Caenorhabditis elegans: one gene and its partners. The protein of the gene in region 1 binds, or shares a complex with, the protein of each later gene. Each region holds a gene or a part of one and is shown in the gene's direction. Other genes may lie near its edges.

Region 1 (7,045 bases):
ACATGGATATTGTTTTCTATCACAAAAAATTTCCAAGCTCAACTCCACAGAGGAAAAACTTCACTCACTAACTTAAGTGATCTCGCCTCCAATTCCATTATCCCATTGAATTAATTCACCGCAAACAACAATGTGCACATCCACTCATCCCGTCTGACACATATCAGTCATTCATTAGAGCCCCCTCTCACACCTCGTCTCGCCGAAATTGAAATGTTACAATCCACGGAAACTTTGAATGCCTAACCACATTATCCTCTGAATATTTCACTTTTCAATGCGTGCGAACCAAAATGCGAATATCTATACTTTTTGAACTTTTATTTATTATCTTTTTTTGTTGCGATCCAATCAACGCGGCGCCAGTCTCGCTATCAAGTCTATGGACACTTGGTAAGCAAACTTTTTGTTTTGAGAACTTTTGCACCTAGGGAAACTTTTTTTTCAAAAATTGAAAAGAGGGGATACAACTGTCCTTTTTTATTTGCACAGTCCGTCTTTTTTCCGCTAAAAGTGCTTATTATCTGTCCACTTTTTTGGAGGAAGAATTGAGGGGATTTTTGATGACGACGAAATTGTTTGTGTAGAAATGAGGGAAAAAGGTTGGCAAAAATCATGTAAAACTGAAAGATTGCTGAAAGTGTAGTCAGTAATACAATAAGGCAAACATATTCTGACAGTTTTGCACCTTAATTTGCGATTTCGTGGGTTATTGTACCTTAAAATTGTCGACAAATTCGGCAAATTGCTGGTTTGCCGATTTGCCAGCAATTTTCATTTTGGAAAACTTGCCGATTTGCCATTTGCCGGAGTGTTTAGAGAGATTTTTTATAAGACGGAACAACTTAAAACTGCCTTTTTGGAAATTTGTTTTCGTTTTCTTTAGATATTTACATAAATAGAATTTACTGAATTTCGAGACAAAATGTGCAAAGCCAAAATTTGCCGAAAATTTTATTTTTCAAAAAATTCACTTTTTTTTCGTTTTCCTGAACTTTGCCGATTTGCGGGGAACTTTAATTTTCGGCAATTTTCCGTTTCGCCGTTTTCCGAGAAAAAAAATTATTTGCGGCCCACCCCTGGTGTGTAATGTATGCATGCGACAATTTCCTAACGCGCTAACAATTGCCTTTACATTAGTTTACAACTCTTCCCGGTTATAGATCTCATTCATCCTGTTGCGTTTGTTGGGTGGCCCCCTCCTCATTGGGATATGTTTGCCTGCTTTTTTAGTTTAAGTGTGTCTGTATTTTTTTCAAAATGCTTTGTGTTATGGTTTTGTTTGGGCTTAAAAACTTTTTTTTTCGAAAATTGCTAAATTATTTTTGCCATTTTTAAAAAAATTTTATTCACTTTCATATATTTACTCACTGTACTCAAAAAATCATATTTTTTCTCTTGAAAATTTTGTGTTTGTTCCAATTGTTTTTTCCTCTAATTAACTCCCAATTTTTTTCACCAGCTTTCCCCAAAAGATTTGCACTTTTAGATGCAAGAAGTATAGGGATAGTGCGAAAATCAGCAAACAATTCTCCCAGCTCTCCACCAATTTTCCACTCTTTTTCCTCGCCGCTTTTCACCTTTTAACCTACTACCCCCATTCCAAGCAGCTACCGTTCCTCCCTTAAATCGGCTTGAAGACTGTCCAATTGTTGTGTCAATATTTGTGGGGGTACTTTTATATAATCGGAAGGTTTCGACAGTTTTCGCCACCTTCTTTGGTGAGGTGGCGATATCAGTGATTATAAAAGGTATGGGAAAATGAAATATATATAGTCAAAGCTATAACCTCTGGGAGATGATTCTTCCTCTATTTATAAACACTTGAGGATGTGAAAATCGGACGGAAAAGACGAGCCACCAATATGAGGTTTGATGATCGGGGAACTCTCGTCGAGTGATGAGATGACGACGACCTGTGTATGTCGGAAAAGATTTGGGGATATTTTGTTTGGACAGGATATATGATGGTTTGGGCGGGTATTGCAACAAAAACTCTTTTTGCCAAATGAAATCAAAAGTGCACGCGGGCCGGAGCAACTTGAAAAAGGCGAAGCTTTGTACATGGTTTTCACCGCCTTCCTAGAAAAATCCTAGAATTCAGAAATTTGCAATATAGAGTTGTTTTGAATTGAAATTCATGAATTGATCACGAAGTGGCTAGGTTTATTGTATGTACAAAAGTCTTTCGATAAGACTATGGTAGCACACTCAAATGCACTTGACGTGAAACGCCAGGTACTGTGGATTCACTCTGTATCAAGAGAGTGGCCGACAAATTTTATTTTTGGCAGTTGCCAAAATTGAAAATTTTAGGAAAATTGTGGTTTTGCAACTATGTATTCATGCAACATCAACATATTTTATATGTTCTGTTGAATTTTTGTACTTTTCTGGAAATTATGTAGTTTTACATAAAATGAGGACTGCTAGATTTGAAGCTTAAACACACTGGAATTGCTTTAGAAAGTATACATGAGAACTGTATGATTTGGTTACTGTCAGCTAATGGCCAGAAACGCATTAGAATTGGAAATATTTTCTCAAACACCAATGCTACCAAATTTTCTAGCTCTTTTCAAACTTGCACCCCCAATAGCGGCAACCGCGTCTAATATAATAACAATAAGCAAGAAACATGCGAATCTATATTATATATTATGAGACGGTTATATACCATGATACTCCGTCCAACGTGGTGCATGACAAGCTATTCAAGTATGTGAGTGTGTGAGTGAGTGTGAGTGTGTGTGATGTGTTTATGCTAGTTGCGAGACGCGCAGGCGCAACAAGAGAGGCGGCTCTAAAATGCAAATATTTACCTGAGTCAGGAAAGAAATTCAGTTAGAGAAGAAGGAGGGTGGAAGCTTCTCCTAAAAAAGTGGGCGGGGCCTAAGAAGTTGCAACTGTGCCGCTGTGCCTCGCCGCCGCCGACGGTCAGCGCGCGCCTCTGTCTAGCAACCTTCTATCTCCTTACTTTCTTTTTTTAAAACTGACCTACTGCTCATTTATACCCCCCGTCAACTAGTTAGGGGGGATGGCGTTTTCGCTGTTCTCCGTCGTTTCACTGACGGTCATCTACCGGTTGACCATCAACTTTCCCGAACTACCGTACACTCAGGAGTTGAAGAACGTTGAGAGCGATGAGTTCGTGAGCACATCTAGAGATATAGCTCATTCTATTCAAGAGTTGGTCAAGGATCTAGAAGGAAGGCATACAGCTAAGGTTGCCGATTATAAGTGAGTTTTGAGTGAAAAAGGTTATCGACAATTTTGGGCGTTTTTCACTTTTCAAGAAATTCTAAAATTGCTCCCCTAATTTCCACATATTTACTTTTTTGCGGAATCTTAAAATTACAAAATGTCCATCAGTCCGTAATCCAAACCCGTAACTGTTGCCCGTGGGCCATAACCCAGAGTCCGTAATCCGCAAGTTCGGAGACCCGGGTTCCAAAATTGGGAGTCCGGAGTGCAGAGCCCGGAGTCCATCGTCCGGAGAACGGAACCCGAAGCCCGAGGTCCGAAGTCCGAGGTCCGGAGTCCGCGGTCATTCAAAATTCAACAATACTAATTTAGAAGGCATACTTCTGCAGCTTAATTTTAAAAAGTATATATTAAAGTTTTCAAATAATTCTTCCAAATTCCAATGTCATGTTTTCTGATAATTCTTAACAAAAAAAAAACGGTCGCTTCCTCCCACGAGAGAAAGTCAACAATAGAGTATTTTGTGTAAATACATGCGTATGTATGTACATGTGTGTGTACCTATATGTTGTTGTAACTTCCAGATATCACAAAATCATTGGATCTCTTGTCTACGTGGATTTGTACGCTGAAAAAGAGTCACCACTGGTGTCTGATGTGTTGTTGTCCGCGATAAAGTCTGGAAAAATTGGGAACCTTACGGTTTCCGATGAGGGTTTTGAGCTTCATGTTGTAAGAGGTGTGTTGTTGTGTGTTGTTGTGTGTTGTTTTATATGTTAAAATTATTCAGTCGCCTGAAAAATCTTACTTTACCAAAAATTGCAGACTCGTCAATAGCCTGCGCCACCACAGAATTCACATGCCTTGACAAGTCATGCATCCCGGCGGATCAACGTTGTGATGGAAGACGCAACTGTCCAGATGGATCAGATGAGCACAAGGAGCATGGAAAATGCAAGCAGCATCAACCAATCATCCATCAAACTGAGAAAGTTGTCTTCGCTCAGAAACATGGATCCATCCATCTCTCGGCTTCAATTGATAGTTCGGTAGAGGATAATAAGGTTCGTATACACTTTATTTGATTATAAAAAAGTGTCTACATGATTGGAGGCTATGCTTAATTTTCTAATTCCAAGCTATGTTGATAATTAAAAAAAAAGTTTCTTAATTGACTTTTGAATTGAGGTAATGCTCCGAAAAATCTTTTAATATTGTGTAAAACTATTGATTATTCCAGATTGCTTGGTCCAAAGACAGCGTTCTTCTTGGAGTTGGCTCGATGACCTTGGCAGAAGACGGGCGTGTGACGGTTTACAAAAAAGGAGACAAACATCATCTTCATATCATCAACGCCACCGACGCAGATGATGGAACTTATAAAATGATTGTGCAAGGAATAAATGTGGAGGCTGATTTTGAGGTAAGCGTTGGAAAGTGATTCAGGAAATTTGAGAAAAATATTAAGAAAGGGGTTTCCATATATGCTATCATTGATGGTTTGAAACTTCCTTTAAAATTTTAAATTTCCAAAAATATTGGCAAAACTGTAACTGAGAGGTTCAACGACTATTATATTTGCACATGAATTTTTTGGTCCATTTTTTAAAAAATTTTTCTTCTCCGATTTGCATATTTTGATACATTGTGTTTCAACTTAAAGGACTTCAAACAAGTGAAAATATGTTTGAAAATTTCTAAAATCAAAATTTTTCATTATTCCGAAACCGATCAGAACCAATTTCCATTTACAGTATTTTTAGCTATTCATAAAATGTTCAATTTCAGGTCCGCATCACCTCCGACCGTGTCGCCACCGAATCCGACGAATGCCCAAGCGGGGAGCGTGCCTGTAAATCTGGACATTGCCTTCCAGTCGCCCAATTCTGTGATCGCCGAGTTCAATGCCCAGATGGTGATGACGAGGAACATTGCTCTGGTAGGGGGCCTCTTAGTCATAAAATACATTGAACATTTCGTTATAATAGGTGCTAGATACTACCTCGCTCCTTAGAATGTAATAATTGATGTTTTTCATTGTGAGAAAAATACTAGTACCAAAAAATGGAAGATAGATCAATGACTCATTTCCAATAATTTTTAGTTGAAAAGCAGCCAGTAGACCCGGTTATTCCAACAAGGTGAGAGGGGACGAAAAGAGCACACACACACATGTGTGTGTGTGTGCTCGGAGAAACAATAGTTAAACATTTGACCAGCACACTTGTTTTGTTTTTCGCACACTTGTAGGAGAAAATGCTCAAGGAAAAATTGAAAAATTGTGCTCCGTGCTTGAGAAAATCTTTCGTCGACTTGACTTATTACAGAAGTGCAATGCAAATCGAATGAGTTCCGATGCGAGTCCACAAATGTTTGTGTGCCAACTGTCGTCGTCTGTGACGGATGGAAAGATTGCCATGATGGTTCTGATGAAAAGGTAAGGGGTTGGGGAATTTTAAATTCAACAAAGTTGTACTGTGAAACTACAGTAGGGAAATCGTAGGGATACATTGGACCCACAAAAAGACCGCATTTTTGCAATACAGTAGTATTCCAGAGCCTGTATGGATACTCTATAAGATATTACTGTAGATGCACTAAATAATTCAGGAATGGGCGGCAATTGCTGTTCGGCAAATCTGGCAAATCGGCAAATTGCCGGATTGCCGATTTGCCAGAAAAATCGTTTGCCGCACACTCCTGATAAAAGGTGCCTTTATTGCATTTTTTTAGACAATTGGGATTACTCCAGGAGTTTTCAAAGGCAATCTTTAATTTCAAGTTCCTTTAAATTTCAATTTTCCAGAAATGCTCCCATCCACGCAAGACCTACAAACCTCATCATGTCCACCACGTAAAGGTCAACGCAGTTTGCCAAGATGGCTCGGAGCCCGAGTTCAGTCTTCACGGCTCGAGTTATTGCTGGTCCAACAAGGTGTGCCCAGCCATGACCGAATGTGTGGCTGGACTGTGTTGCTCCATTTCTAGTTAGTTTATTCTTTATTTACAAATATATTGAACCAGAATTTATTTGGCAAATCAAATATTAATTACTCTTCTCCTTTTTGCTCTTTTCCAGGCTCTTAAGCCTATCAACTTCCATAGCGGTATTTGCATGGAACCATCCCAAGCTGATAATTAATAAGAATGGCCACCTGAAATTCATTTTAGTATTCATTAAACTAATGGTTTCTCACCTAAACGTAATAGTCTCTTCTATCAAAAATCTTTGCACAAATGCCGCTCCAACATCTGAACCTCCAAGGAAGTAAAAGTTGGAGTACAGGCCGATGGCAAATGGCAGAATGTGGCACCACGCCAAGATTCTACGGAACGCCACGTCAGATAGATTAGCCTCCCGCCACTTTCGAACACTTTCAATTGTGTAGATCGCCTTGGATCCCATCTCGATGAACAAGGCCAAGATGTTCAATCCTATCCAGACCTAGAAAAGATGGAATAGAGTTGTGATAATTACTCGCGTAATTAGATGGATAGATCTTGACATTTTCAAGTGATCTTGATCTAAATATAACGCTCTAATTAGTTTACGTCTATGGAATATTTACTGGAGGTGTCAGAAAGTATTCTAGTTTATCTCATGAATATTACTTTCAATGCAACAAAAAACTAAAGACCTGCCTACTTCTTGCCTACGTGTCTGACTAGCTCAATTTACCTCAATTTCGGTGTCACACCATCGTTCTGCTTCTTAAGAAAATTTAACTTTAACTCACAATGTTGTGATGATAGAATCCGTGCCAAAGAAGCACAAAACCGTACGAGATAAAAACTCCGAAAATTTTTCGTGGCAACGAAAATGTTGGAGCACAGATCGGGA
Region 2 (9,193 bases), on another chromosome or scaffold:
TTTTTTCCGAAACTTCGAACTTCTGTGATGGGGAATAGTGTCGGAAGCAGCTCCTCGACGTTTTTCGAAATGATTGTTGATGATTTGTTTTTCGGGTTCATTATAATGCGATCTGAATAAATTTCAAATTAATTTTGGCAATGAAAATATGGATTAAAATAGAAATAAGCCTGCAAGCATAGAGGAAACCAGATTTTCGGTTTTTTTTTTCAGAAAAATGACAAAAATTAAGCGCAGGAATGAAAATAGATGAAAAAAAACCGTTTCTTCGAACATTTGTAGAATTTGTGTTGGTTTTTTTTAAAAGGATAATGCGAAATTTTGGAGTTATATGCACTTCACTGAAAAACGGATAGTTCTAATGGGAAGGAAAATTCTTATTCGTGAAGTTATTGGGCCCATTTTCTTCAATTTGCTCGATGATTTAAGAGGCACTGAAGAAAATGCGAGGAAATTATTTTTTTTAATTGTCTGACTCTACGGATTTTTTTTTAATATCCACTATTTTTTCGGGATTTTTTTTTTGATAATTCTCTGTTTTGAACAAGATTTTATAACACAGAAACATAGGAAAATGCCGAACTTTAGCTCTGAAAACTATTAAAAGTTATTTTTATCATGAAGTACAATTTTTCACGGAGAAACCCGACACAAATAAAAGTTTTACGTGATGTTCAACGTTTAATATAAATTTTCAAACAAATAAATCGAATATTGGCCAAAAAAACTAAAGAAAACAGAGTAAAAAGTTCAAAAATAAGATTGCAATTGTTGAAAAACAATGAAAACAATTGCTCGTAAAGTTATGGCGAAGTACGCAAAAGCCTCTGCGTACTTCGCAATCTACCGTAGTCATCAATTAATTTTTTTGTCAGTCGCGCGCGACAACATGTCGTGCCGTGCCGAGAAATACTGCATAGGATATAAAAACAAAGAAACGTTAAGTGATAGCTGAAAATATCAGTTTGATTTAAATGGCTACAAGGTTATTCCTTGACACAAAAAATATCCCGTAGGGAAAACTACAGTAATTCTTTAACATCTTTAAATTTCGATTTAAATTTCGGAAACATTGATTTATCGATTGAATATTGAAATTAAGCCGAAAATTAAAAACTAATACGAGGAAACGAAGAAAAATGAATATCGATGTCACTATTCGAAAAGAAAATCATTTCAAAAATCCGTAAATCGACTAAAGCGCTACAGTAGTCATTTTAAGTATTAATATAGTTCTCGCTACGAGATATTTTGCGCACTATGCATTCTCAGAGTTTTGTGTTCCCGTATACACAGTGCTCAAATTCTTCGTCCAAAAAATTTCTGAGCTTATTTCAAGTTTGATCCAACTCTTGTTAATGTCTTATATAACTTTAAAACGATTCAAAAAACGATTAGGTCAAAAAGTTTGATTTTTAACGCCGCCAAAAAAATTTGCATACGCTTTATAAGCAACTTTTGTACCAAGTTTATATTTCTTTTGAGCCAGACTTGGACAAGAAGTTAGCATTTTGTGTCAGCGCATATTGAAATTTCACTACCATTTCTAATATACTGTAAAGGATAGTTACTTTTGTGGAAAATCTGAACTTTTATCAATTGCACCATAAAAGACGAGGTTACCAAGTGTTCACAGTATGAACTTCACACGTGGTGTTAGAGTGTCCCATTGATCTACGTAGTTCACATTGTTCACAAATGTTCACATTATCCAGATATTCTAATTCAGAAACTAGTATACACCTTTCTCCATTTCATTGCACTTCTCCATTCATACCCAACTACCCGTGATATCCTATACTTTTACTCTCTCTCTCTCATGTCCAATGTCCCTTCAGAAGCTGCTTCCTGGCATCTTCCTCCTCCTTCTTCTGCCAAATCTTTCTGCCAGCCGGGGGACGGGACTCTTTGTGTAATGTTGTCTTCTTCTTTTCCTTCATCTACAGCAGCATCGCCTACTGTCATTCCTTCCCATTCCCGCGTAGCCGCCTGCCGAGTGTCCTTCAACTCTCCGTCTCTTCTACAACTGTTCACTCTCTCTCGCTCTCTCATTGCATTTTGGAACATACAGATAGGGAGTCAGAGAGATAGAGAGTGAGAAAAGAAGCGGAGAGACGGTGTTGCTGTGAGTCAGAGACGAAGAGTGTGTACTGCTCCGGCCGTCCGTTTGTTCGTCCGCATCGGCAGTCTTTTCTCTCATTCTCTCATTCTTCAATGTTCTCTAGCCTCTTTTTTCGTTTATTTTATTCTGTATACACGTTCCTCTCTACCTGATATTCTCCCACACATAGCTTTTTTATTGATTTGTTGATTGTTGTTAAGCGGTTTTTTTTGTTTTCTATTCTATCTACCGTGGACGGAGAAAATACACTGTTTCTATAATTTGCTAATCTTTCCAACAACTAAAATATCTCAGTGGTTCTACCTAAATCACTTCAAACATGGCACATCTTGTTGAAGGAACCTCGATTATTGATGGAAAATGGCAATTGCCAATTTTGGTCACCGATTTGAATATTCAAAGGTGAGGATTTAAAATTATATATTTAGAAAATATTAACTTTCAATAGTACTGCATGTTTAGCAGTTGTTCTTAAATAACTGCAATTGCAGGAAGTTATAGAAAAAGATTCAATGCACATTTTCTGAATTCAAGTCATTTTGTCAGAATAAGTGATAATTGAGTTATTCTCGGATTGAGGTTAAGCCTAAACCAATCCTAGGCCCAAGCCTAAGTCTAAGTCTACGACTAACTATAAGAATAAGCCTAAGTCTACGCCGAAGCCTAGCCTAAGTTTAAGCTTAAGCTTAAGTTTAAGCCTTACCCTAAACCCTAGCCTAAATTTTCAGAAGATTCCGGTTAAATTTTTTTCCAAACATGAATGAGACATTTTCAAACTCAGAGTCTTCCAATTTCCAATAAATGTATTTATTTCTTCCAGAAGCATCTCTGTCCTTGGAAATCTTAATGTGGGAGGACTCATGCTCGAACTTGTTAGCGAATGCGGTGAGTTTTTTTTTCGAATCTTATCACCTCGGTCAAGATCTCAAAGATCTCAATAGACCATGATTTCTCTCTTTTCTACTCAATATAATCTGTTAGATATATCTGCCACTGTGTGCGCCTACGCGTTTGTTACAACGAAAAGATACGTGGTGTGTGCACCATTACGAAATGATGTTCAATATCAGTAAAAATTGAAGGCATGGGAAAATGTTGAAATCTGCTGGAAAAAAATGTTCTGGAAAGATAGGGAACACTTTTGGAAACACATCGTAACGGAGCCCTTGAAGAGTGCGCCAAGTGAAAAATTTCTCGTACAATTCTTTCAAGTTTGCTGAAAATTCGTATTTTGAATAAAACAGTTTAATTAAAAAGTTAATTTTTGAGAGATCTTCACGAAATTTTTTAGGGACTGTGAGCTCCGAAATAGTTGACAAGAAGTCCTCTATACATTTTGAAACATCATAGAAACTATGCGGAACCTATCAAATATTTATGGGCTCTTCTCATCTCCTACCAGTTGCTCTTCTCTTTCTTCTTTTTCTTTTCATCCTAACCCCTGTTAATGTTGACTATTCGAGTGCACGCGTGCGCATCTACATAAGCTGATTGTTTCGGATGGGACATTCGCTGTTGGGTACATAAAGTTTAGAGGCTTTCCTTGCAGAGATATAAGAGCACACAATGATAGGGGGTCCCAGGAGAGAGTATCAAAACTTGAGAAGCAACTGGCATTCATCATGACCAAGAGCAGAAAGGGCGCATAGGAGAGGCGCATAAAAACGTTTTGGAATTAAGTTTTCGCGCGATTTTTAGAACTTGCAGAAGCTGAAGGGATGAAGATTTTCTGCATTAGGGTATAACAATTTGTGTGCTCAATGTGTTTAATTTCCAAGTTCAAAATGTAATCATTTGGGCTTCAGCTGAACAAACAATTTACAAAACAGCTGTATTGAAACAAGAATCTAAAAAACTCCAAATATTTCTATTTTTCCAGATGTTGAACGAGATTGGTCTGATCATGCTCTGTGGTGGCCGGAGAAGCGGCGATGGCTTCAACATACTCGATCGACTCTTGACCAGAATGGAATTACAGCTGAAACACAATTGGAGTTCACACCAATGCATAAAGAAGCAAGAATTCAGTTACCAGATATGCAAATGATTGATGCGAGAGTTGATTTCTCGGTAAATTCATTCAAAGCAACAAAGAAATTGTGCCGTGATTTGGGTATTCGATATTCAGAGGAATTGTCTTTGAAGAGGTAAGTAGGAATTGGGAAGTTTTTGATGTTTTATTTTTAATTTAAATAAGAATGGAGTTGTGAAATTCCTTAGTTGGTTGAACGAGGATTGAAGATCCTTGGGAATCTTAAGCAACTAGGGAAAATCTATGCCTGATCGAAATCCTGCCCCAAAAGTTTGAGCAAGGTCAAAAGTTAACTACTACCGAGCATGTGAAATAACCCAATAATTCAAAATCATATAATTTAAAATATTACAGATATATTCCACCAGAGGATCTTCGACGTGGAACATCTGACGCCGACAACATGAACGGTCCACTCTCAATGCGTCCAGGAGAAGAATCAGTTGGACCAATGACTCTCCGTAAAGCTGCTCCAATCTTTGCTTCTCAATCGAATCTTGATATGCGCCGTCGTGGTCAATCACCCGCGCTCTCCCAATCTGGACACATTTTCAATGCTCACGAAATGGGAACTCTTCCTCGCCACGGAACATTGCCACGTGGTGTCAGTCCATCGCCAGGAGCATATAACGATACGATGAGAAGAACACCAATTATGCCAAGCATCAGTTTTAGTGAAGGACTTGAAAATGAGCAATTTGATGATGCTCTTATTCATTCACCAAGACTTGCTCCAAGCCGTGATACTCCAGTATTTAGACCTCAGAACTATGTGGAAAAAGCTGCGATTAATAGAGGATGGCTTGATTCTAGCAGATCACTTATGGAACAAGGAATTTTTGAAGGAGATATTATTTTACTACGATTCAAATTTATGAATTTCTTTGATTTGAATCCAAAATATGATCCAGTGAGAATTAATCAACTTTACGAGCAAGCAAAATGGAGCATTTTACTTGATGAATTCGATCACACAGAGGAAGAAGCCACACTATTTGCTGCTCTTCAACTTCAAGCAACCCTGCAAAGAGATTCTCCTGAACCTGAAGAAAATAATAAAGATGATGTGGATATTCTTTTGGACGAGCTTGAGCAAAACCTTGACGCAGCTGCTCTTAACAGACGATCAGATCTTACACAAGTTCCCGAGTTAGCAGATTATTTGAAATATATGAAACCAAAGAAATTGGCAGCATTCAAAGGATTTAAACGGGCATTCTTCTCGTTCCGTGACTTATATTTATCATATCATCAAAGCTCCTCAGATGTCAACTCAGCTCCACTTGGACACTTCTCATTGAAGGGATGTGAAGTTAGTCAGGATGTTTCAGTTGGACAGCAGAAGTATCATATCAAATTGTTACTTCCAACTGCTGAAGGAATGATTGACTTCATTTTGAAATGCGATTCCGAGCATCAATATGCCAGGTGGATGGCTGCGTGTCGGTTAGCATCCAGAGGGAAGTCAATGGCTGATTCGTCATATCAACAGGAGGTGGAGAGCATCAAAAACTTGCTCAAGATGCAAAGTGGTAAGTTGTTGATTTTACAATTTAATAAGTGATAATGAAATTATTTTCTTCGAATGAAACAATTTTTCAGGTAATGGAAACGAAAACGGAAACAGCAACACAGCTTCGCGAAAAGCCGCCGCTGTAAAACTACCAAATGATTTCAATGTTGATGAGTACATATCGTCGAAATACGTACGACGAGCACGCAGCAAGCAACAAATTCAACAGCGAGTATCAGATGCTCATGGAAATGTTCGACAACTCACGGCAACCGAAGCGAAACTTCAATATATCCGAGCATGGCAAGCACTTCCCGAACACGGAATTCATTATTTCATTGTAAGATTCCGAAATGCTAGAAAGGCGGAATTGGTGGCTGTTGCTGTGAATAGACTTGCAAAATTGAATATGGATAATGGAGAAAGTCTGAAGACATGGAGGTTTGCAAATATGAAGAAGTGGCATGTCAACTGGGAAATTCGACATCTCAAGGTTAGTTTTTGATGAATAAAATATTTAAGATCTGGACATGATCGGAAATCGAAAAATTGCAAAATGTTGAGAACGTTTTCGAGACCTATTCATCTAAGTTTCTTGTAACAACTTTCTGATTGTTAATCTATTTTGTGATGTCTTGAAATTACGTTTTCATCTCAAAATCTTTCCTAATATGTATATCTAAACACAAAGAACAATTGGCTTTCAAAAAATCTTTGTATTGTTTCAAAAATTATAATATTGCGTTTTTGATTCAATTGTTGTTTTCTATCCATAAGTCTATTCGCCGTAACTTACTAAAAAATTCAGGTCTTTGGTAATTTAAAATCTAAATCAGATAATGTTCTCAAAGACCGAAACTTTTTCGGTAAACTTGGTGCTGACAGGAAGGTAGGCAGACTTCATGCCTATTTGCCTACATGCCAGCGTTGCACCTTGAGCGTTTTAGAAATAAATTTTTAAAATCTGTTTTGTGCCTACATAAAAGGCTTAGATAAACCCGAAAATAACCGAGAACAAACTTTTTGAAATTAATTACTTTTTTTCTTTGAGTATACTATTTTATCATCCTATCTCCCCAATTTCCAGATTCAATTCGAAGATGAGGATATCGAATTCAAGCCACTTTCCGCTGATTGCAAAGTCGTTCACGAGTTCATCGGTGGATACATTTTCCTGTCAATGCGAAGCAAAGAACATTCTCAAAATCTTGATGAAGAACTTTTCCACAAACTTACAGGAGGATGGGCTTAGATATTTAAATTTCTATAATCTTTTGCAAACCAAAGAATTTTAATTTTAGGCTCCAATTCCATCTTTTTCGTTTCAAAATTTCAATATATATATTTGTTTTCTTTCATTTTTCTTGTTTCTCATTTCCCCCCTTCCCCTCTTCCAAATAATTTTTCGTTTTAATAAGACAAGTATACCGGATCGAAAAAAAGTTTTATGTGCCTTTTCATATCTATGGATTAATAATAATTGTATGAGAAAAATTGAAAAATATTATAAAAATTGAATAATAAAAACTGATGAATAAACATTTAAAATCTTCTTCCGCGTTCCTCGAGCTTTTCGAATTTTTGTTGATTGCTGATTTCTAGTCTTCCAACGTTTCGTTCAACTTCAATCAGCAACTGATCTCGCTCTTTTTCCAGTTTTTCAAATTCTCCCATCACAATATCATTGAGTTCCTTGTATTTTTCAACTTCTTTCCTCATATTCTCAACGTTTCGCATATCTCGCTGGAATAATAATCAGGAAATTATAGTCATTTTCCATCTTTTCTGGTAGTAGGCAAACGTAGGTACAAGGCAGGCAGGCACTGTTCTGCTATCTAGCTACCTACCTAACTACCTAGGAATCCTTAATCTGTTCTATTCAACCATATAAAATCAATAGTACAAAACATATCGGCAATATAAATTTGATAGAAAAAAAGCAAATAAGTTTGTATCCCGTTATTTAAAAATTTGTTTTCAAACGGATTGAAATCATGTGAAAACATGTTCAAGAAGTATCAAGAAATTTGAAACAAAATTTTCAAGCAACAGCAAAAAATATCTGAATGTAGTCTTCGCCCATAAATTTGTTTTTTCACGATTTAGAATCGAATTGTTTCTTATTTTTCAAACTAGTTTTGTACGTTTTTTTTAAAGTTAAACAATTTGTCAGAGCAAATCAAGCAACTTTCACGAATGATACGTACATCCCTTTTCTTACCTGAAAATTCCTCTTGTAATCCTGAAGCCTCGCGATTTCTTTGCTCATCTCATCAATGTTTGCTTGATTTTGGCCGAGTAGGACGGCTTGATCCTTGAGTTTCTCGCGACTATCAATGAGATCCGCTGATATTGAATCACGTAGATCACGGAGATTTGAAACTTCGCTCTGGAATGGTGAAGATGGTTTTTATGAAGAATTAATACTTTAATAAAAATTAGTTGAAAAAATTGATCTTATGATTCAAATATCGTTATAAACAGGGGGTTTTTATTTTGCTTTAAAAATATCCAAAATAGACTCAAATTCAGAAATACGACAGAATAAATACGATGAAAATAGAGGAAAATTTCAAATATTAATTTTTAGTGTGATTTGACAATTTTGGTTTTTAATTCCCTCCAAAACGAGAAGCCACGCCCGCTTTCGAACCAACCAGAATCTTCGAACGTTACAAACTTTATCTGATTAGTTCAAACGTGGGCGGAGCGAGTCGTTGATTGGTCGCAGTTCTCGCTGTGGAGGAAATTCAAATCATATATTTTAACTATTTTGAGATTTTTTTTCTGTTGTGGTATTTCAGAATGTTAGATTTTTTAAATGCAAAATCTAAAATATCGAATATTCAGAGTTCCTACCTGCAAGAAATCAATTTTTCCTTGCATCATGGCAGTTTGCTCACTATTTCCAGATTCAATTGTCCTTATCTGTTCCATATGTTTCAATCCAATTTCCTCAATTTCAATTTCTCTTTCTTCTTTCATCGCTTGCATTTGTGTCTCCTGTTCCTCTTTCATTCGTTGCTCCAAATGCACAATTGCATATTTCAAATCACTTTGAGCTTCTAACTTCTCTTTTTCAAGCTCCGCAATGAATGTTACTAGAAGATCATCAGATTGTCTTAAGATATTCGCTGCTTTCTCTTTTGTCAATTCTTCCATTGTCTGACATTCAACACTTTCTAGACCACCACTTGGAGCAATTGCTTCTGACTGTGTTCCAGCATTTCTATGCATTTTTGCATGAAATACCAAACTTCGAATTCTTTGTTGTAATTTCTGGATATGAGTTGCTTGATGTGTCTTCATATCAAACATACTTTTCTCTACGTCTCTTGTTCTCTCTCTTTCTTCTCCTAATCCATTTTCAGCTATTCTCCAGAATTGTTGAATTCTTCCTCTTTCCTGTTGAGCTGCATTCAGTTCCACTCTAGTTTTTGTCAATTCTCCACTCAACTTATCAGCTCGATCTTTCAGGCGGTCTTTTGTAATTTGAATTGCGTTTAATTTTTTCTCAACTTCAGCT
Region 3 (9,703 bases), on another chromosome or scaffold:
CGTCCCGTAGAGCACTTTATCCAGTCTCTCAACTTTCCGTTTTCTCTTCTTTTTATGATTTTTGATATTGATCTCATTGAATTTTTCTACAATTTTGCATATCGAGTTGTGAAATCTCAAAAAGTGGGAACTCATTATTTAAAAAAAAAACACAATAGCTACAGTAACCGTAGCTTCGTAGATTTTTTTCTCAGGGGATTAAAGCTTTTTAAAAAATTATTTAGGAGAATCTTTTTAGAGGACTGTACAATCGAACAGTTCTCAACATAAATCGACAACATAATTTGCTCAGTTCTGAGTGAAGAAATCATACGTAAAACTTGAAGTTTTAAGGTTCTTCGTAGGCCCTTATTTACGTCTATTATTCAAACCCTTCTTGACATTTTTTTCCAATAATAATAGGCTATCCCGCTGTTTTCTGAATTAAAAAGTATCAAGTAATCATCAAATGTTTTTCAAAAATCAAATAAAATATTGTGTAAAAACCAAGCTCTTATCTGATTTCAGACAAAAATTTGGCATTTCTATACTAAATTATAAATCCATCTAAAAAATTCCAACACCCAGCTTCTTCAGTAATTTTCCTGCAAAGAGTATATTGTTCATTTTCGACACTCTGAATATTCTCTGTCTCACCGAATGTCTCACATTCTTCTTTCAACAAAAAAAATTGTTCTCGCTCGAATGCATCATTGAGAATTCACTACCAACGGCGAGACCCCTATTCTTTCTTCAAAAAGTGTGCTCCATGAGCACCTGCACCACCTGCTCTTGGGATTCTTTGATTTATTATTCCTGGATTTGGAAATGAAATTTCTGGAAATTGTTTTATTGACTAAGATCGTATAATTCGCACAATTAAGTACTTTATTATAATAGTAAAATGCTTGGTTTTAACATTGATACCTTTGTGCGTCGCCGATTTGAATTCTATAAATGTTCGACTTTCCTATGATTGCAATTCTTGACAATCAAAAAGAATGATCGGTAATAAATATTTAATTGTTTTAGGTTGTAATGAAACGGTAATGTTCACCATGTATTAGTTGAAAAGCTATTATGAAGATTATTAATCTTTATAGAAGGGATTATGATTTTTTTGTTGCTTAGTTAGTCAACGTTACTTTTCACAAATGACCCATCAATTTAAGATTCTTTTTTCAAAACCTACCTCCTAATTTAACTTCCCTTAAATCTTGTCGACATCTTTTTTTTCCAAAAATTCATTTTCCTCCTAACCACCCAATTAATTCATCCTCCCCCCGTTCCCTCAATTTATCACTTGTTCCTCTCTATTCAAAACATGACCTTTTTGTCGGAGAGGGAACAGTCACCAGTCAACCATATCTTGGATTCTACTGACAATTACTTCATGCCCACATCCCAATACTCTCTATTACATGAACTTTTCACCAATATATAAAATGTTGTTCGTATACTGATGGGCTTCAAGTAGGCGTGATTTTTAAAACACATACTACAAATATTGGAGAAAGTGCCGTATTTGTTCTATTAGTATTGGTGCAATACGTTTTTGACCACAATATTTATGTACTTGAATTAACTAGATTTCACTGTGAAAACTGAAACTTTAAAAACTTTAAAATCTGTGGCAACTTATTGTCGAATTTTGGCAGGAAGTTTCCCTGATATTCCAAGTAGGTTCAAAAATTGAATTCAATTATCAAATTTTGGTCTGGTCAGATTGAACGTCTACTATTATAATAATTTTGCAAGTTTTTCAAAATATTAGAAAATCTCTTTGGTGTTTCAAAAATAGTAACTGCATATCTACTTGATTCCAAACTAATTGCTTCTCGTGTCCCCAAATAAGTGGTGCCTCTTCCTCCGCCCCCTTCCATCCTCCCAATTTCATCCTCAATTCATGCTTCCATCAATGTCTACGTCTCTTCGTCTCTCACACTCTCTCACCATTAGACATATGTTTGATAACTATCCGGAAACTGAAGAAACTATGTGTCCCTTCCTCCCTTCTCTATTTCAAACGACTCTTGACTCATCGTATTTTTCGGAAATTCATGGGATAACTATGAGTCTCCAGATGCCAGTTTTGTTTCGGAATTTCCTTTTTGTACGTTTTTCACAAACTTCGAATTTCTGATTTTTAACTCGTAGTCCAGCCAATATTCTGAATATTTTGAGGGTTCTCCGGTAATTTTAAAGATTTTCGAATGAGTACAACTCAAAAGCTAGAGGTTCCAGCAAACAACTTTCAACAGTCAAAACATTTTGAAATAGTTCAATTGAGCATTTGAGAAAATATTGTTGTTGGCTCTCGCTCAATACACAACAAATATTGAGATTTATGCAAAATTCGAATTGCTCCTTACTTTGCTTCTTCATCAATCTTGCTCCACGTGTCACGGGTCATTTTGTTCCCCCGTTAATTTCCGTTCGCTCACTTCTCCTGTTCGTTCAATTCATTTCTTGATATGTTCATGACTCAATGTGAGTGTGTCAAATGCTCGTAGAGCTCCCTTCTCAATTATAAATGACTTGTCGTCTTCGGAGGGTCAGTTCTTTGTTTCGCAATCGCGTGTGCTCTGTTCAATTCCATTTTTCCTTCCTTCCGGTTTTTGGAAAAGACACCGATTAGGCTTCATTGATCCACATGTTAACTGAGAATTTGAAATTATCTCAGTGAAATTGGTCGCTACTTTGAATTTAATTCATTTAGACATGAAAAACGTTCCAAAATTAAAATTCAAGCAAAGTTCTTTATTTTCCCTTTCAAAAATATTTCTTGGAACTTTTGAATTTGAGATTTTGAAATTTTTTTTCTATTCAATCAACTTCTAAAATCGTTTCATCTTCCGTATACTCGTTGCAAACTTCTTTCTGATTGTTTTCAAAAAACCGAATTCCAAATTTCCAGTAGATGCGAGAGGGTAGTTTTCCGCGAAGGATCGGCTTGCTTCTAGGCTTACTGGGCCTTTTAGCCGGAGTTGCCACCTTCAACATCGACACAAAAAATGTAGTGGTTCATCACATGGCTGGTAACTACTTTGGATACTCACTCGATTTTTACCATGAGCAGAAGGGAATGCCTGTGTAAGTTATTGAATTAACTGAACAGATTTTACATTCAAAAATTTCAGCCTCGTTGTCGGTGCCCCTGAAGCTGAAAGCAATAACCCAAACCTGGCTGGAATCCGAAGACCTGGAGCAGTTTATGCTTGCTCCGTGAACCGGGCAACATGCCGAGAAGTCCACGTGGATAAAATGAAGGGAAACTTGAAGAAACTCAATGGATCACATCTTGTTCCAATTGAAGAAAAATCACATCAATTCTTTGGTGCAACTGTTCGATCAAATGATAAGCATGATAAAATTGTGGTAGGTTTATTCTGCGGAGTTTGAAAATTAAAAATTAAATTTCCAGGTGTGTGCTCCAAAATACACATATTTCTACTCAAAATTCGAAGTTATTGAGCCAGTTGGAACCTGTTTCTATGCTGAAAATGGATTTGATAATGCGGAGGAGTTTTCATCGTGCAAACAAGAACGTATGTTTTGGGGATACTTAATTGGTACTGCAGGGGTACTGTAGTTTTGGAAAAAGGAGTTCGAGAAAAGAAAGTTCTGGGAAGTTCTAGAAACTTCTGAAAATTTTGAGGAATTGCAGGAATATTTTAATAGTTTGAAAAGTTTCTGCAACCCTCAAGACACTGTTAAAAACGTCTTAAAATTTTGAGATTTTTTTGGAAAATTCTAGAAACTTCTAGAGGCTCCTGAAAAAAATCTGAAAATTGTTGAACCTTTTGGAATAGTTCAGAGTTCGAACAATTGGTAACTTTATAAAAAATTAGATGAAAAATTACAGCTGCTCGCCACGGTCGTCATCGTCTTGGATACGGTCAGTGCGGATTCTCGGCTGCAGTTCCAGGAAAGAAGAATCAAAATCGTGTTTTTATTGGAGCCCCCGGTGTGTGGTATTGGCAAGGAGCAATGTTCTCACAGAACATCAAAAATCAGACAGACCGCCCGAATACCGAGTACGGTAGCAAGGAATACGATCACGATATGATGGGATATTCTACAGCAACTGGAGATTTTGATGGAGATGGTATTGATGATATTGTTGCCGGAGTTCCACGTGGAAACGATTTGCACGGAAAATTGGTGTTATACACGTCGAAACTGAAGATGATGATCAATTTGACTGATGAGGTGTCAACTCAACATGGACAATATTGTGGAGGATCTGTTGCAGTTGCTGATGTAAATAAAGATGGGTAAGTGAGATTCACAAACACATAAAATTACAATTCTCTAAATATTCTCTGTATTAATTTCAGACGCGACGACATTATCATGGGCTGCCCATTCTACACAGATTACGGTAGCGTGAAAGACGCAAAAACACAAGAAAGAAAACCACAATACGATGTCGGAAAGGTCATTGTGATGCTTCAAACTGCTCCAGGAGTCTTTGGAAAACAGATTGCAGTTGTTGGAGATGATCAGTGGGGACGATTTGGACACGCAGTCGCAGCAGCTGGAGACTTGAATTTGGATGGTTATAATGGTAGGGATTTTGCTACTAAAAATGAACGAATTTGAATTTCTCACAGAAATTATTTTACGCGGAAATTCAAATTTAGTTTTCGTATTTTCACTTTTCTTTTTCTTAATTTAACAATTTCTTTAGACATAAAAAATCCTAGATTATCGGAAATTTGTGCGGCATTTTGAACTTTCAATCTCATTTGAACCGCTATGGAAATTTATTGCATTTTTTGTTGGAAATTTTAAATTACAAAATAGTGTTTTTCAGATGTAATTGTTGGTGCACCATATGCTGGAAAAAACAAACAAGGAGCTGTTTATGTGATCCACGGATCCAAAGATGGTGTTCGCGAACTACCAACTCAGAAGATCGAAGGAGCCAATATTGGTCATGGAAATATCAAATCATTTGGCTTCTCCCTTACTGGAAACGAAGATGTTGATGGAAATGGAATGCCAGACATTGCAGTTGGAGCATGGAAATCTGGAAATGCAGCTGTTTTACTCACAAAACCAGTTGTCACTGTCACGGGACAAACTGAACCAGAGAGTGCATTGATCAGTGTAGAAGATAAGAATTGCGATGTTGATGGAAAATTGGGAAAACAGGCATGCAAACATATTAATACATGTTTCAAATATGAAGGAAAAGGAGATACACCAAATGATTTGGAATTTGATCTTCGATTCAATCTTGATGATCATTCTCCTGAACCAAGAGCTTATTTCTTGCAAAAAGATGTGGTAGGTCACTTTTTTAAAACTAGATAAAAATTTTTAACACAATAATAATATTTCAGAAATCTGACAGAAGCATTAAAGTTGCACAAGGATCTAAAACAAGAGACCATCCATCTTCAATCGAACAACGTGTTCGTCTTGAGAAGGGACGACAAAAGTGTTTCAGACATCGATTCTTTGCTTCTTCCACAATGAAGTGAGTTTTCAGAGAAAATATTTTGATTTTCTTTCAAAGTTTTTCAACTCAAAATGACCACAACTTTTTAAATTTTTTTATCAGAAAAAATTGAGAAAATGTTTGCTCTGCTGTGAAAAAAAGTTCAAGGCTAATTTTTGAATGTAAAATAGTTCGTATGCTTTGCAAACCTTCAAATTAGAAAATAAAATGTTTTCTAAAAATCAAAAATAAAATAATTTCAGAGACAAGCTCTCCCCAATTCATTGGTCCGTCAACTACACATATGTTGAATCAAAAACCGGAAAACTTCGTGGTGATAAGCTTGAACCAGCAATTGACACAACTGTACCACTTTCATTCCAAAATAAGATTAATATTGCAAATAATTGTGGAAAAGATGATCTTTGTGTTCCTGATTTGAAGGTTACCGCTGTTGCGTAAGTTTTTTTAATTTTCAAAATGATCGATAAAAAGTGTTGAAAAAATACATTAAATATGCCATTTTTTCATTGAATATAAAAGAAAGGGAAACATTGAAAATCCTCATTACAGTAAGTTTGAAAAATTATTGAAAAAATGGGTTTGTCTCGAAATGTTTTAATCATTACTCTAATTTTAAAATTTTCAAAAAAATATAAGGAAATGAGCGAGAAAAATTGAATATAACACAAAATACAATGTAACCTAACTCGACAATTTTCAAAACATTTTTTATAATGAGACAAGTTCACAGCCATTTTTAAAATGTTTGCTTCAGGATTTTCCTGTCAAAATAATTCCACGAAGATTGTATGTTTCTTTTCTTCACGGAATCGGCGAAATTTTCAGTGAAATCATATCATTAAAATAATTATTCCTAAACCTATAAACCAAATGCCAGCAATTAAATTCTTTTAAACATATTTTTTCAGTGATCGTGAGAAATTCCTTTTGGGAACTCAAGACAATACAATGCTTATCAATGTAACAGTTCAAAATGGAGGAGAAGATTCATATGAGACAAAACTTTATTTCGATGTTCCACAAGGATTCGAATACGGTGGAATTGAAAGTGTTGGTGGAGATGGAAGCAAGTCTGCTCCAGCTTGTTCTCCAACTTCCGATGAACCAGATTCGGATGGAAAATGGACTTTTGCATGTGATCTCGGCAATCCACTTCCAGCTAACAAAGTAGTTAGTAGTGTTGTAAGAGTGACTGCTTCTTCTGATAAACCTCCACTTGCTCCAATCAGTATTAATGCTCATGTGAACAGTAGTAATGATGAAGAAGCTCATACTGTTGCTGATAATAAAGTCACATTCACTATTCCAGTTGATTTTAAGAATCAATTGAGTTTGAATGGTAGATCAAATCCCGAACAAGTCGATTTCTCAATGACGAACAAAACACGTGTAGATGCTTTCGATGACAATGAAATTGGTCCAGTTGTTTCACATCTTTATCAAATCAGTAATCGTGGTCCATCTGAGGTTGACTCAGCTACTTTGGATATCTTCTGGCCATCATTTTCCACTGAAGGAGGTCATCTTCTGTACATTATCACAGAACCAGTTGTTAATCCACCAAATAAAGGAAGATGTCGGGTCAAACAACTGCAAAATGTTAATCCATTGAATTTGAGGGTACGTTTGAATAATTTTTAAATTTCTAGACATTACTTTAAAGGTACACGCTGTTTTTCTGAGTGGGTCTTGCCACGATCTCATAGTCGTTGCAAATCCCCAATTTCTGTAGACACTGAATTTTATAACTCTGTACATTTAAAATTGCAGTGAAATACGGAAGGAACTATTTTGTTTTAGAAATAGAAGTAAGAAACTTTATCATTTTTAGGATAAAATTCAAATTTCTTGGGAAATTTTGAAGAATTGTTTTCGTCAGTTTCTGAAATGTTTAGAATCGGCGAGTTAAAAAAAAATATTGGAAACAATCGAATATGCTGAAATATCACAAAAAAAATTGATTTTCCGGTTCGGGCTGACAAACTTCACTTTTTTCAATTCAGAATCCTGAACATCTTATTTTATAAATGTTCACAAAAAATTACTGTCGCACATTAAAAACGAATTAAAATTTCAGATAACAAATGAGCATGTTCCAACTGAACCACCAGTTGCCAAGACACCAAATGAATATTCAAGAGAAGAAGATGATGAATCATATGAAGATGAAACAACAACTCAATCCCAATCAACACGTCATCAATCTACACAACATCAAACTCATCATCAATCTGGTCCAGTACATGTATACGAAAAAGACGAGGAGAAGATTCGTCAGAATACTGGAAATTGGCAATATGTTGAGGATAAAAAGAAGAAGGGAGATTATGAATATATTCCAGACGATCAGGAATATGATGGAGATGATTTTGAAGAGGAAGATGATGAAGATTTTGATAGAGCTGGAAGTAAGAGAGTTAAAAGAAATCCAACACCAAAGAAGAAGAAGAAGGGAGGAGAACACCGTGGTGAACCAAGAAGTGATAAGGCTAGATTCTCTGATCTTCGTGAAGCTGTTAAACTTTCGAAGGAAGCTGGAGGAGTTGTTGATTATAAGGGACCACTATCAAGAGCATCTGTTGATTGTAATTCATTGAGATGTACACATATTGAATGTGATATTTATGATCTTAAAGAAGACGAGTTTGTACTTGTGGAAATCTTCTCTAGATTATACACAAACACATTGGTTGATGAGAAAAATCCTGGAGGAGACATTTCATCGTTGGCTCTTGCTCGTGTCACATCTACTAAATACAATCTTCCACATAAGCCAACATTGATAACAGCAGTATCTACAAATATGAATGCAATTGCTTCTGAAGAAGGAAGAGATCTTCCTTGGTGGCTTTATCTTTTGGCTATTCTTATTGGACTTGCCATTTTGATTCTTCTTATTTTACTGCTCTGGAGGGTGAGTTTCAAATTTAATTTTCAAAAATACGATTTATTACATAACAACATAGATATTGGCTTGCAAGTTAAATTAAAGTTCTTTCGCCAACTTTCATGCTTACTTGTGACGCAGCAAAAATTATATCTTAATTTCCAATTTTGTGAAGCGGTTTCTCAAAGCCTCATTGATTTATTCGGATGGGCCTCGCCGCGAGAAAAGTTTATGGTTCAAACTCTGCCATTTTCGAAAGGTAAAAAATGATTGTCACAAAGATTAAGAAAAACTGAATTTAAAAGAAGTTGCCTACGACATTAAAGCTGTGCTCACACGCTTTCGAAAATTTCACAGCAACGTCCACGGCGAGCTTACGTCGGGGGTACTGTAGAATATAGGTAGATCAGAGCGACTACAGTATACAACCAATTTCGAAACAAATTTACAGTTTCCCTCAGAAAATAAATAATAATAATCTAATTTTCAGTGTGGTTTCTTCAAACGTAATCGTCCACCAACTGAGCATGCAGAACTCCGTGCCGACCGTCAACCAAATGCTCAATACGCTGATAGTCAATCCCGTTATACATCACAAGATCAGTACAATCAGGGACGTCACGGACAAATGCTATAATATTTTCCATTTTTTGTTCCTTATTCTTTACTATTCACATCTGCGGGTGTCTTTTTAAAATTATCATTTTGGTCCCAATTTAGTCCTCTTGTCGTGCCTTGCCCCCCAATCTTACTTTCATGTTCGATCGTTTTTCGGAATCTCCGCTCAATTTGGTGCTTTATATGTTCATATTATGTTTCTTTGTTTTCCAATTAATTACCAATACATTGACATGTTTCTAGTCGATATTTTTGATGTTTTTTCTTTTATTATCATCAATTTATTAATAAAAATTTAATAAATAAATAAATATTTAAAACGCGTCTAAAACAATAAATTTTGGAATTTCATCAAACCCGACCAACAAAAAAACGGAATAAATATTATGACAAAACTAGGTATCATTGGTTTTCTTTTTTCGAATCATCTCAGCCAATTGCTTGAATCTGACCATCACTTGTTTCTTCGTTTTGCTTCCAATTTCTTCGGAGATTCTTTCCCACCTGAAATTTAATATTTAAAACATTCCTCTGGATATTATATTATGGGGACCCAGAAATTTTACCGTCAATACCTAACGAAACCCAACGCTTGGAGGATGAGCGTTCTCAATTTCAAAATACCCATTTCTAGTTTCCAAGCTAACCTTTCATCAGTTCCCTTTGGATATTTCTGCAATGCGGTTTCAAAAGCCTTCTGCTCAGCTTGACTCCAATCATCTTCTGATTTCTCTTCAACTGGTACT
Region 4 (6,003 bases), on another chromosome or scaffold:
AGTTATACTTGCATCTTCTTCTCCGCTTTCCGCTTCTTTCTGCACATCACAGTGAGTTTGAGCACATTTTTTTCAAAAAAAGGAACTTATTTGGAAAATTTCTCCAGTCAGTTTAAAATACTAAATTTAGTTTCAAAAATAAGTTCCTATTGTTATTACGTTATTCAATTCAATTACGTTTCCAATTGTAAATTTTTCAGCACTTCTGATCCGATAGGCAAGCCGATCAAGGAACGGTATAACTTTAACGAAATGGACCGTAATCTTTCCGCACTGGTCAAACCACTTTGGGCAGGAAATGAAAAAGAAGATCGTGCTGAAAAAGACGATAGTACATCATCTTGATCTGCTCCGGCTCCCCTCCCTGTCTGTGTGATTCTTTTTGTTTCTTTCAATTTTATCCTATTATTCCAATTCAACGCTGATGCATTACTATTGTTGTCATATTTCATTTCTGTCATTTTTTAATCAAATGTGCTGAACATTAAAAATTATCTGATCTCTTGAATCCCTTGTCTTGTTTTATGAATAAAAGTAATATATCAAAAAAAAAAGTCGAATGGAACTGCTGAAAGTGCTCCTTTTAGTGCGCATGATATTTTTCACACATATTTTTTTTGAAACGGTTTTGATCCGTGTCCAGTATCCATATTTGATTTTTTTAAAAGAAATTTTAAAAAGTTTGTGTAGACAATTCAATGTTTAGTTTTCCCTTTCAAGCTAGTTTTCACTAACAGGAAGATGCTATAAAACTATGAAACGAAAAACTTCAAGAAAAGGAAATTGAAAAATTGTGATCTACACAAATATTTTTCTAACATTTTCAAATGTGGATGATGAACACCAGACATTCGTGGCAACTGTAGACCAACTATTTTATAAAATGAGCCAGTTTGGCATGTGCTCACAAACTTTTTTATGGAAATTCAGAATATGGAAAACTACTTACTTTCTCTGAAAATAAGATTTTTTTAGTTGGGAAAATAGGACATTTTTGAAAGATTTTTCATTTGATGTTTTAACTTTCGGATTAATTGTGAGCACTTTTTAAATTGTTCCAACTGAAATTAAAAATATTTTTAGACAAGCTAAAGATTTTTCGATATCACTGAGTTTCAATTAAAAAATTTTGAGAACATGCCACACTGGTTCATTTTGTAGAAACTCACTTTGAAACTTATAGATTTGTGTAATAAAATACTCAGTTTAGAATTTATACACTGCTCCGAAAAAAGTCGGTCCAAAAACCTCTGTTATCGGTTTACGATCTTCTAGAAAAAGCGGTGGTATTTCTCAACACTGCGCACAGCTGTTTGGCAGGTGGAGGCATTTCTACTGGCAGAGGACCTCATTCTATAATGTCATCATTTCAAAGTTAGTCATTGTTTTCAAGCTACAATTTCTGGATTTTTGTCATCCTGATATATGATACTAGCTCATGATCAAGGCCAGTCGTAAGAATATAAAAACACAAACGAAGGTCAGATACTGAACATTTATCTGCCAACATTTGCGGGGTTCGTACTTTTCAACCATGTCTTTTGATTTCTCATATCTAAACTGATGATCCTTTCTTATTCTCACAACTGTCTATAAACATGTGTTAGAAAAAGCTTGTTCCTGCCTGTTCCGAGTATCAACGAGCAGCAATACTTGGCTATTAATGTGACCCTACGCACGCAACCCGATTGTATGCGTCTCTTCGAATCGCGCACTCTTCCCGGAGTCGTTACGTCTGCGGCCGTAGTCTGTGACCCCCCGCTTGGCTGTCGGCCAACCCGCCGCGCGCGCATTGCCTCTCGCTTTCTTCCACTCTTTTTAGTTGTACATTCTGCGCACTTTCTTTTTGCCCAGTAAATGCCCATATCACTGTGTGAGGAAAGTTGATTTTCAACAACTATTATCATTTTTAAGGTGTTGTTTATAACTATTACTATGTTTAAATATAATTCAAAACTTTATAGTTTAGCCGTATAGAAGTTGTATTGAATTTTTGGTTTCATTTTTACAACTAGTTTTATTTTTAAATGCAAACACCACAAAAGAAGCATTGTTGCTTTCCTCCGTTGCATCTCAAAACATCTGGTGTAATACATGTATCACATTTTGAAGCGTGAAATGTGCCGCTTCACTGAATTTTGTTATGTAGAGTAGTACATAGAAAGTCAAAAAAAAATCGAAATAACTAGTTCGAATTTTTTCCCATTTAAACACACGATATCCCAACCGATGTTTCTGAAGAATCTTTTTTCTGTTCCCAATCAATACTGATCATCAACACATCGGATACACGTCTCCCTCTGTGAGTTAGTCAGGGAAGCTGAGGCATCCTGTTGAATCTGTTGTGCAGCAGCACTCACACACATACTTTTGTTGTTCACTTATATCTCTATCTCTTGGTTCGTTTTCATTCTTTACACAAAATGCAATGGCAAAAGCTTCCACGCCACCGCCTCCGAGTTCTTCTTACACATATGTCAACCCGTCGCATCCTATACCTTTGGCACATTTGCCTCTTCCTTGAGGATTTCTTCTTTTCTACTGTTTCACAGCCCCCTCGTATAATACCTCCAGTGTTTTTACGATTCTTAGAATATGGAAATTTCTGTGTTTATGCAAAAATTTACTTTGCATATAACAAAATGTAGATATGAAATTCTGACTTTTTGTGCTCTTTTCGATTAACCAACATACCTAACCTATACACACTATATGCTTTCTCCGGCTTTCCCTTGTTTGTACATATTTGTCTTCATATTACTCGCTCGCTTTCTTTTCTTCTTTCCTACCCCCACCTTTTTCCTTACAAACCCATGGTCGTTAAACCATCCTGTGTGCATAGTGGCCAACTTTCAGTGGTTCAATAATAGATGGTGTGTGGCGGAATGGATTCCGACCACAACCATATCAACGGGGATCTCGCCCATGGCTTCGAGAACATGGTGTGCGTCCGTTGTAATGATGGTTTTTCGATGCAAGATCAGATGGTGAACTCTTCCGGGCAAGTATGGCATTCGGAGTGTTTTGTGTAAGTTTTTATAAGTTAGAATTAAGAGAACTCAAAAATTGCAAAAAAATTTTTAGATGTGCTCAATGCTTTGAGCCATTCCCAGACGGCATCTACTTTGAGTATGAAGGACGAAAGTACTGCGAGCATGACTTCCATGTTCTGTTCTCACCATGTTGTGGAAAATGCAGTAAGTATCTTTGAGAAGACACGCAGAGCCATAAATGTTTTATATTCTAGACGAGTTCATCGTTGGACGAGTGATTAAAGCAATGAATGCCAGCTGGCATCCGGGATGTTTCTGTTGTGAGATTTGCAATAAACAGTTGGCCGATGTCGGATTTTTACGGAACGCTGGACGGTAAGTTGGAGAGCGTAAACGAAGCTCGAAAGAATTTCAATTTTCAGAGCTCTCTGTCGCGAATGTAACGAACGGGAAAAGGCAGCAGGTCATGGACGATATGTGTGCCACAAATGCCACGCAATGATTGATGATGGACAACACATCAAATTCCGTGGAGATTCATTCCATCCTTATCACTTTAAGTGCAAACGTTGCAAGTAAGAATTTATCTTGTTTTACAGTATGAGTTGAATTTAAAAAATTTTCAGCAATGAATTAACGACAGCTTCTCGTGAAGTAAACGGAGAGCTCTACTGTCTCAGATGCCACGATACCATGGGTATCCCAATTTGTGGAGCATGTCACAGGCCGATTGAAGAGCGTGTCATCGCGGCACTCGGCAAGCACTGGCACGTGGAGCACTTTGTCTGTTCCGTCTGTGAGAAGCCATTCTTGGGACATCGTCACTACGAGAGAAAGGGACTTCCATATTGCGAACAGCACTTCCACAAGGTACTTGAAATATGAACAAGCAAACATTAATAAGTTTGTTGCAGTTATTCGGAAATCTTTGTTTCAAATGCGGAGATCCATGTTGCGGGGAAGTATTCCAAGCTCTTCAGAAAACGTGGTGTGTCAAATGTTTCTCCTGCAGTTTTTGTGATAAGAAACTTGATCAGAAGTGAGTGCAAAACTATTCATATGAACTTGATGAAAACAAATTAATGTATGCATTGCAGAACGAAATTCTATGAATTCGATATGAAACCAACATGCAAACGATGTTACGATCGGTTCCCCACAGAATTGAAAAAGCGCATCTCAGAAAGCTTAAAGGACCGCGACGTTGAAAATCAAAGAAGATCGATGAGTCCTGGACCAAAATAATAAAAAAGAAAGAAATAAAGGAGTCCCCGTAATTCATCAATTTCCATTAAAGAAGTAATACTTTCCAAATGCCATTGCTCATTTCTCTTTCCCATTGTTTTTAATACCTTGGTGCTAAAAAAAAACATCGTGAAAATTGTTATCAATCCGTTTTGTCTTTTAAATGCCTTATATTTCAAAACTATTTTTCGGTCACACAAAAATGTCATTGTACTCATTTCTAGCTCCATAATTGTCCTTCCCCTTCCCTTTCCCAGCTACTTTTTGATTCAGAAGCCTTCTGAAAACAATCATAACTTTCGACCAAATTTTTTGTGTTCCTATCCGCAAAAACTTTGCATCTTTTCTCGGGTGTCATTATTGCATAACTTGATTTCTGAATTTTTGTACTATTTTTTTGTTCAGAAAAAAAATATTGACTGTATTGAAACAAAATCGTATTGTAATATTGAATCCTTTTTTTCGGCATCAACAATCAATTTGTAATCAGTGATCAACAGGAAGGTGAGTCCATAGCGCCCGGAGAGATATTTTTGGTTCAACTTGAAACGTGTTAAGTGAGAATTATACTTTCCAGTGTCAAAATGTTTGTGAAATTTCTAAAAATACGAATGAGCCAGTAGAAATGATCGTATTGCACTTGAAATTCTCTTGGGAATTTATTTGTTGAAGCTTCAAAATGTGAAAGAAAAATTGGGCTATTCCAACAAAAAACGACTTTCATCGTTTTTTTGCTCAGCAAACTCTGTTTGATCATTTTACATAAAGATGAAATAGAGTCGATGATTTTTTTTTAAATTCAAAATGACAAAAAAAATTCAGTTTCCAAGAAGTTAATTTCGTTAAAAAATAAATTTTCAATTATCGATTATTTGAAGAATTTCCAACAAAATTCTTCTTTTTTATCAATTTTTTTTTTGGTTTTTTTTTGTGGAAAAGTCTAAAATTTTGTAAGATTCTGTTATTACTCAAAAATCACAAAAAAGGACAAAAAACTGACACAACTGTAAAAAACAAACATATCAAAATTAGGTAATTTAGTTACGCGGGTATGGGAAAATAATTCAATACTTTCTATTTTTTTTTGTTGCAAAATTTAACAATTAATTAAAAAATTCAGAAAAATTCAATGATTTTTTAAACTGTTGTGCTTATTATAGTGCAACTTTTTTCCAGTCATTGAGACCAAAGAATCCATAGATGTTATTCCATCTTTTTCCAAATTTTATTTATTGACAAATATCTAATTAGTTTAAAAATCTAAAATCAAACCTCAATTTACGGTAACTTTATTGAAAACTTGAAGCATGAGCAAGTTTAACAAAAATTTCAAATATTGACCCAATAATTACACATATTATGACCCATATGATTAACAAGTTGATCAATTGATAAAACTGATAAATAATGATCTATGTATTCTAAGGCACAATCTTTTCTGGCGGCATACTTTTCTCGCAATCAAAAAACATTTTATGATTTTTAATTAATTCGTGAGCAGAATCCAGCGCATCTTGAATGGAGGGATACATTTGATTTCTTCCAATATTCCCTTCTCCAATCAGGCCAGCATTTCCATATTGTCGTCGGAGTGATGCTGAAATATCCCAGCTAAGGTTATAATTGTTTAAAAATTTTAAACTCACACTTCAGATTTGCAAACAACAGGAGTATACGAATTTGTCGTAATTCTTCATTAATTTGCTTCACCGCAGCAATCCCCATAGAATCCGTATAAATCCAAGTGTGGCAGTCAAGAATGATT

Evidence for each region.
Region 2: unc-52 (region 1) and unc-112 share a complex: the UniProt entries of both Caenorhabditis elegans proteins name them as parts of the integrin containing attachment complex.
Region 3: unc-52 (region 1) and pat-2 share a complex: the UniProt entries of both Caenorhabditis elegans proteins name them as parts of the integrin containing attachment complex.
Region 4: unc-52 (region 1) and unc-97 share a complex: the UniProt entries of both Caenorhabditis elegans proteins name them as parts of the integrin containing attachment complex.

The regions. Positions count from the first base shown.
Region 1 is NC_003280.10:14,680,289-14,687,333, reverse strand, and holds the start of unc-52 (Basement membrane-specific heparan sulfate proteoglycan core protein), read left to right. Parts: upstream 1-2,877; 5' UTR 2,878-3,037; coding exon 3,038-3,240; intron 3,241-3,788; coding exon 3,789-3,943; intron 3,944-4,029; coding exon 4,030-4,268; intron 4,269-4,444; coding exon 4,445-4,627; intron 4,628-4,992; coding exon 4,993-5,143; intron 5,144-5,531; coding exon 5,532-5,641; intron 5,642-6,010; coding exon 6,011-6,191; exon of another isoform or gene 6,192-6,250; coding exon of another isoform or gene 6,251-6,359; intron 6,360-6,401; coding exon of another isoform or gene 6,402-6,649; intron 6,650-6,941; coding exon of another isoform or gene 6,942-7,045. Other genes in the region: hhat-1 (Protein-cysteine N-palmitoyltransferase HHAT), read right to left, coding at 6,251-6,359, 6,402-6,649, 6,942-7,045. UniProt on the Caenorhabditis elegans protein: Component of an integrin containing attachment complex, which is required for muscle development and maintenance. Probable structural role in myofilament assembly and/or attachment of the myofilament lattice to the cell membrane.
Region 2 is NC_003283.11:14,689,878-14,699,070, reverse strand, and holds unc-112 (Protein unc-112), read left to right. Parts: upstream 1-2,416; 5' UTR 2,417-2,441; coding exon 2,442-2,524; intron 2,525-2,942; coding exon 2,943-3,007; intron 3,008-4,001; coding exon 4,002-4,269; intron 4,270-4,508; coding exon 4,509-5,686; intron 5,687-5,756; coding exon 5,757-6,160; intron 6,161-6,754; coding exon 6,755-6,919; 3' UTR 6,920-7,209; downstream 7,210-9,193. Other genes in the region: set-5 (SET domain-containing protein), read right to left, coding at 1-101; gasr-8 (uncharacterized protein), read right to left, coding at 7,210-7,410, 7,889-8,056, 8,527-9,193. UniProt on the Caenorhabditis elegans protein: Component of an integrin containing attachment complex, which is required for muscle development and maintenance. Probable regulator of cell-extracellular matrix adhesion. Required during initial muscle assembly to form dense bodies and M-lines.
Region 3 is NC_003281.10:8,816,003-8,825,705, forward strand, and holds pat-2 (Integrin alpha pat-2), read left to right. Parts: upstream 1-2,896; 5' UTR 2,897-2,899; coding exon 2,900-3,072; intron 3,073-3,119; coding exon 3,120-3,357; intron 3,358-3,403; coding exon 3,404-3,527; intron 3,528-3,844; coding exon 3,845-4,256; intron 4,257-4,319; coding exon 4,320-4,549; intron 4,550-4,798; coding exon 4,799-5,274; intron 5,275-5,330; coding exon 5,331-5,467; intron 5,468-5,559; exon of another isoform or gene 5,560-5,651; intron 5,652-5,691; coding exon 5,692-5,886; intron 5,887-6,360; coding exon 6,361-7,072; intron 7,073-7,529; coding exon 7,530-8,366; intron 8,367-8,829; coding exon 8,830-8,976; 3' UTR 8,977-9,272; downstream 9,273-9,703. Other genes in the region: F54F2.9 (DnaJ homolog subfamily C member 1), read right to left, coding at 9,353-9,461, 9,605-9,703. UniProt on the Caenorhabditis elegans protein: Required for muscle development probably through the regulation of the actin-myosin cytoskeleton. Component of an integrin containing attachment complex, which is required for muscle maintenance.
Region 4 is NC_003284.9:5,590,277-5,596,279, forward strand, and holds unc-97 (LIM domain-containing protein unc-97), read left to right. Parts: upstream 1-2,856; 5' UTR 2,857-2,885; coding exon 2,886-3,028; intron 3,029-3,084; coding exon 3,085-3,197; intron 3,198-3,247; coding exon 3,248-3,368; intron 3,369-3,415; coding exon 3,416-3,568; intron 3,569-3,619; coding exon 3,620-3,863; intron 3,864-3,907; coding exon 3,908-4,032; intron 4,033-4,090; coding exon 4,091-4,238; 3' UTR 4,239-4,689; downstream 4,690-6,003. Other genes in the region: mec-2 (Band 7 domain-containing protein), read left to right, coding at 1-2; sulp-2 (STAS domain-containing protein), read right to left, coding at 5,660-5,835, 5,885-6,003. UniProt on the Caenorhabditis elegans protein: Component of an integrin containing attachment complex, which is required for muscle development and maintenance. Probably function in adherens junction.